2 linked regions of the Tribolium castaneum genome follow. The protein of the gene in region 2 purifies or fractionates together with the protein of the main gene of each other region. This does not show direct contact. Links are inferred from orthologs where the notes say so. Each region holds a gene or a part of one and is shown on either strand. Other genes may lie near its edges.

Region 1 (2,890 bases), on a different chromosome or scaffold from region 2:
AATGAGGGCGCTTCGAGCGTTATACCGTCTCGGCGCCAAATTAATTTAAATCTTACCAATTCATTAAACACTTGAAATAAACGCAGAAATGTTGAACCTTGTACTCTTGACACACTGAGAAAAACTGACGGTTAACTTTATTTTAAGAAACTTATTATGAAAAAAAAATTAATTTGCGCTTCGTCCCGTATTTTTCAAGACTGCGAATACGGTTAAAAATAAAAATTGAAGGTGGTCAAGTAACGGAAAGTTACTTTAGAGATAAACTATAGAAGATAGAAATATAGTGTCGGAAATTTTTGTAGGAAATTTATTTCTCCACAACTTTGTTCTTTACACTTTTTTTTGTTTCTTCAACTGTATTCCCAGCGTTTTGATAAGTATGCGACGGTGCTCAAAGATTTATCGCTTAGAATTATCAATTTGAGTTCCACCCAGAGATGGGCGTTCGAGTTGACTTTGATTGTCTACACGACGTGTCAATAATTACGTCGACAATGGTCGACAATGTCAACAATGAGAATTTGATGTTATGTTGTATTTTACGGCACATTTCTCTCTTATTTTATGGTCACATTTTCTTTTGAGAATGAAGACGAAGAGGATAAAGGCTGAAGCGTAAAAAAGATGAAAAAAGAGAATAATTAGTTTTTTCTTACTTTTTTTTGAGAATCTTATTTTTCTTTATTTATTTTTATACTTGTTTTTATATCACATTTTCTATTTTTTAAAGTTTTCTTACAAATACACTAATTTGATAGTCCAATACCGTCATTAAAATGTAAAAATTTATTGTTTCTGTATTGTTGACATAGTTGACATTGTTGACGTCACTTCAAATGTTGACGTCGACGTCACTGTTGACAGGTCAACAATTGAATTGTCTATCTTGTAATTGTTGACGCTCCTATCACTGGTTCCACCTTAAAGATACAAAAAAAATGTAATGAACAAAGCTGTAGAGAATTAAATTTTCTACAAAAAACTTCGGGACACCAGATATCTATATCTTCAGCGTTTTGAAAAATATGGGGCAGGGTGCAAATTGGTAAAGATTTGAATTTTTTTATATAGTTTATTATAAAAAATTTCCATTATGTTTATGTTTTACTATTGGGAATTTAATGCTCAATCTTCCTGTTTTATTTTTGTTTCATTATGTGTTACGCGTTATAAAAACAACCATTTTTTTTCTAATTCATTCCTCTAAAATTTTGGACGGTAACTTTTAGATATCCGTAGACCGGGTTTTAATTATTATAAGTGAAATATTTGTATCATTCATTAAACTAAATGCTTTATTAGAGCCAAATCTAACATTGGGACACTTTATTTATTTCAAAACTGGCGGCAAAAGTTGAATTTATGCGCGGCCGGTAAGAACGATCACCTGTCAATGATTTAACAATGACGTTTCGTGATGGTAAATAAAATAGGGAATTATTAACACTAACACTGATAAAAACTCGTCTTCATGATCTAAACTGTGTTTAAACGTCTTATATTTACAACCATGGGGTGCTGTTATAGTTTCTTTTGCAAGGATGATGGCTCATCTCAGGTAATAACAATTTGAATCAACAATAATACAGTTTAAACAATAGCACGGTGAGCCGAACGAAAGGACTCATCTTCTTGTGGACCCCGTATCAAACAACACAAACATACAAAGAGTAAATAGTGAGGATTTACTGTGTCATAACTCTAAATCTGCCCCCAAAAAGACTGACGAACAATCTGCACTTAATAGGATATTACAAGAAACGGCAACGTTGGTCCTTTATCAGCAATAACTCTCTTGTACATTGTTTGTTTACAGGAACGTAATAGACGTGGCTGCTTTAGATTCACACAACTTGCAGCAGCACGAATATGTTGATAGGATGAAACAATATAATCTCAAGGTGCAACAAGTTTGTGCTAGCAAAAAAAACAAACTAACGAATAGGCTTAAGACGTGTATTCTTGAGGATATTCCATGGACGGAGATAACCCTACAGTCTGAACCAATCAGCGCAGAGGACAGGAACTTGGTAACTCGTTAATTCTTATTAATTTCGATTAACCCTCTCCTGCAGATTACTGAAGCCCTGGAGAAAGCAGCTGTTGCGATTAATGATATTAAAGTCGAGCATAAGGAAGATTTAGTTGTGCCTTTCCGCATACCCTGCTAAGCTATCTCTATTATTTAAACATTAAGAAATCGTGACTTGTTCCTTGATATCAAGGAAGTGTGTTTGTGTTAAAGTGTGACATATCATTTCGTCTGGAGTCACAGTTTCTTCCGCTTGAAATAAGATCAAACCTTACATTATATTTGTATATTATTAGCGTTACAATTACAAATAAATTTATATTGATTTGGTATGGTTTTTATTTAAATCGTGGGATTCAATGACTGAAGTGGCAGGAACGTGGAAGAAGTACAACATGAAACCTGCCGCTAGTAACAGGTGACAGGAGGCGATCCCAATCATTAGAAAAAACTTGTGTCTTGAGAGCCTCAAAGCTGGCAATAAAGTGAAAAGTAAAACAGCCCCTGATACTAACGCAGCGATTAAAACAAGCAACCATTGCAACAAATTGATCTGAATGGACCATAGAATTGAGGCCGGGATGTAGATAAAGAGTGAATAACCGTAAATACAGATCAGTTCAAGCGCACTTGGAGTGGTGCCACTTTCCAGGCCCTCCAAGTCATTAACATCAGAACTCCACTTCAGCAAAGCCCACAAAGCGAAAGGGATTAACAAAACATAAATATAAATCGCCGTTGCGGCGTATGAAACTAAACGAAAGTTGTATTTCCAATGGTACTGATTATTCGCCTGTTGGAGATAATTAGCGATGTTTCCACTAATGGCAATCGTAAAAATTAAAGTGACCGATA
Region 2 (3,761 bases):
GTTTTAGAAAAAAAATTAAAACGGATTCAGAATCCTTGAATAATTATGCTTATGAAAAGCTAAATTATCTGGTTTTTGAACTGTCTAATTTCAACAAAAAAATTAAAAGCACTAGATACAACTAAACTTTATCTTTACGAACCAAACTTTGGCCGATACCTCAAAAACTGTTAGCCGTAGATGAAAAATAAGGACAGTTTTGGAATCCTCAGACTATTTTACGTAAGAAAAACTTACTTTACAGATGGTTTGACTCTCCAGATTACCAAAAATAATTAAATAAAATATTCAGAAGTGTTTGTTTTTTTAACAAACTACATTTTAATCAGTTCTTCAAACTTTGACCGATATCTCAAAAAGTGTTGCCTCTAGATGAAGAATAAAGACAGATTTCGGAATCCTCAAACTTTTTTACGTAAGAAAAACTTACTTTACAGATGGTGTGATTCTCCAGAATACATAAATAAATTAATTAAATGTTCAAAAGTAACAAACTACATTTTAATTAAACTTTGACTGATATCTCAAAAACTATTATCTCTAGGTGAAAAATAAGGACAGTTTTGGAATCCTCAGACTATTTTACGTAAGAAACACTTACTTTACAGATGGTGTGATTCTCCAGAATACCATAAATAAATAAATTAAATGTTCAGAAGTAACAAACTACATTTTAATAAGTTCTTTAAACTTTGACCGATATCTCAAAAACTATTGCCTCTAGATGAAAAATAAAGACATTTTTGGAATCCTCAGACTTTTTTACGTCAGAAAAACTTACTTTACAGATGGTGTGATTCTCCAGAATACCATAAATAAATTAATTAAATGTTCAGAAGTAACAAACTACATTTTAATAAGTTCTTTAAACTTTGACCGATATCTCAAAAACTATTGTCTCTAGATGAAAAATAAGGACAGTTACGGAATCCTCAGACTTTTTTACGTCAGAAAAACTTATTTTACAGATGGTTTACTCTCCAGATTACCATAAATAAATAAATTAAATGTTCAGAAGTAACAAACTACATTTTAATAAGTTCTTTAAACTTTGACCGATATCTCAAAAACTATTGTCTCTAGATGAAAAATAAGGACAGTTACGGAATCCTCAGACTTTTTTACGTCAGAAAAACTTATTTTACAGATGGTTTACTCTCCAGATTACCATAAATAAATAAATTAAATGTTCAGAAGTAACAAACTACATTTTAATAAGTTCTTTAAACTTTGACCGATATCTCAAAAACTATTGTCTCTAGATGAAAAATAAAGACATTTTTGGAATCCTCAGACTATTTTACGTAAGGAAAACTTACTTTACAGATGGTGTGATTCTCCAGAATACCATAAATAAATAAATTAAATGTTCAGAAGTAACAAACTACATTTTAATAAGTTCTTTAAACTTTGACCGATATCTCAAAAACTATTGTCTCTAGATGAAAAATAAGGACAGTTACGGAATCCTCAGACTTTTTTACGTCAGAAAAACTTATTTTACAGATAGTTTACTCTCCAGATTACCATAAATAAATAAATTAAATGTTCAGAAGTAACAAACTACATTTTAATAAGTTCTTTAAACTTTGACCGATATCTCAAAAACTATTGTCTCTAGATGAAAAATAAGGACAGTTACGGAATCCTCAGACTTTTTTACGTCAGAAAAACTTATTTTACAGATGGTTTACTCTCCAGATTACCATAAATAAATAAATTAAATGTTCAGAAGTAACAAACTACATTTTAATAAGTTCTTTAAACTTTGACCGATATCTCAAAAACTATTGTCTCTAGATGAAAAATAAAGACATTTTTGGAATCCTCAGACTATTTTACGTAAGGAAAACTTACTTTACAGATGGTGTGATTCTCCAGAATACCATAAATAAATAAATTAAATGTTCAGAAGTAACAAACTACATTTTAATAAGTTCTTTAAACTTTGACCGATATCTCAAAAACTATTGTCTCTAGATGAAAAATAAGGACAGTTACGGAATCCTCAGACTCGTACGTAAGAAAAACCTACTTTACAGATTGTATGATTCTCCATAATACCAAAAATAATTAAATTAAATGTTCAGAAGTGTTTATTTTTAACCAAACACAAAATGATAGATTTTCGCTTTGACTATCATGGAAATTCAATTCAATTAATTTAAAACATGAATTTTTGAAACTTTATCAAGGTCAAAAAGCCGCAATCACTCTCAAACCCACATTAATTTCTGTCGTAAAAAGGAATTTTGCTACATTTGGACGACACTCCCGTCTCGAATGTCACAGTTTTGTGTCCCAAAAACGAAACAATCGTCCAAATCGCCACCAGTACGCCGACCAACCAATTCGCCCGAATCTGGGACTTGTATTCGACCGTACCTGTGATATTAGGCTTGATTATGTTTCCGATGTTGAACTGGAAGAGCCCAACTTTTTTCACAAAATTCAATAGTTTAGGTACGTTTTTGCCTGTTTGGAGTGGCAGCATTGCCAAAAGGCTGGTTTTAGGGACTTTCAGCGTTTTGTATTTAATTGTTTTCGTTGCAACCAAAGCGGGGATTTGGGGGATTAACATGCCAGACTGGGAGATTGAATTTTACATGAAACCGACTTTCTGTGCCCTCAGCGGAATGTTATCTTTGAGTTATTTCATTCACAACATTATCATTTCGATTATGAGGAACAACAAACACCAAGAACACAACGTATGTTGTTTTTTTAGTAACTAATTTTTAGTGGTTTTTATTAAAATTCTAGGGACGTGATTTGACAATTGCGTTCGGTTTGGTGACTTTCACTTATTTATTTATCGGAGTTGTTTTCTATGTTTGTTTTCCGTTACCGAAGTTCTGTATAGAGGATGTGAGTACGCATTATTACCAACCGAAATAGTAGTGGTACCAACTTTAATTTCAGAATATCTTAAATAATTTTAACAAATACGACGTTTTGACAATTATAGCTAGGATTTTGTTACTGTTTCAACTGTTTACTGTGTTTCCCCTGATTTCGTACATGTTGCGTAACGACGTGTTTGCCAACATTAACATGATTTTCAAAAATTACCGATTTGGGGAATTTACCTATCCGAGGGTTATGACACTTAATTTGGCCATTTTGGCAATTTGTATTTTATTTGCGTGTTTTCTTCCAAGAATAGGGACTTTAATCAGGTAAGAAAGTTAATTTGGTTACCATTTTGGTTATTGATTAAAGTATACTTGTAGATATACAGGGGCTTTAAGTGGTTTAGTCTACATTTTTATGTTGCCAAGTTTGTTAAAAATCGCCAGTTTGAAGAAGGAAGGAAGACTGACGACTCCGAAACTAATCTTCCATGCCGCTGTTATGATTCTCGGCAGTTTTAATCTTCTCTTACAATTCTTTATAAGTGATAAATAATTTTTTATTGTTGTTATGACTGATTCTAATAAAATATTTTTACAAAAAAATTCGTTTTATTGTCCTGACAATCATCAAAAGAAAGAATGATAAAATAGCAGTGGCGTAGTTGAAACGTTCTAAATATTTTTATCTCGACTTGGTGTTTGATCGTCCTTGTTTAATCTTATCAAACATGGAAGTAGAAAATCTGATGAAATATTCAACGAAATTGAATCAGCTGGTTTGATAGTAAACAAGACTATAAACCTTCAAGTGCATCGACTCCTTAAAATAAAATGTTTAAAATAATGGTGATAAGTACGAAAATATTTTGTTTTCTTGGGAAATACTATTCTAATTTTTTTAATTTG

The links. The genes of interacting proteins can lie anywhere in the genome.
Region 1: the proteins of neutral amino acid transporter 9 (region 2) and Lamtor1 purify together in Homo sapiens (co-immunoprecipitation; 5 studies listed by BioGRID and IntAct, with this or other methods). This does not show direct contact. The link is inferred for Tribolium castaneum from reciprocal best matches to the Homo sapiens genes SLC38A9 and LAMTOR1.

What each region holds. Positions count from the first base shown.
Region 1 is NC_087402.1:9,797,018-9,799,907, forward strand, and holds Lamtor1 (ragulator complex protein LAMTOR1), read left to right. Parts: upstream 1-1,374; 5' UTR 1,375-1,513; coding exon 1,514-1,561; intron 1,562-1,604; coding exon 1,605-1,771; intron 1,772-1,819; coding exon 1,820-2,033; intron 2,034-2,078; coding exon 2,079-2,174; 3' UTR 2,175-2,351; downstream 2,352-2,890. Other genes in the region: protein YIPF1, read right to left, coding at 2,352-2,890. UniProt on the Homo sapiens protein: Key component of the Ragulator complex, a multiprotein complex involved in amino acid sensing and activation of mTORC1, a signaling complex promoting cell growth in response to growth factors, energy levels, and amino acids.
Region 2 is NC_087401.1:13,690,004-13,693,764, reverse strand, and holds the end of neutral amino acid transporter 9, read left to right. Parts: intron 1-7; exon of another isoform or gene 8-294; intron 295-2,247; coding exon 2,248-2,463; intron 2,464-2,514; coding exon 2,515-2,711; intron 2,712-2,763; coding exon 2,764-2,868; intron 2,869-2,922; coding exon 2,923-3,179; intron 3,180-3,233; coding exon 3,234-3,408; 3' UTR 3,409-3,455; downstream 3,456-3,761.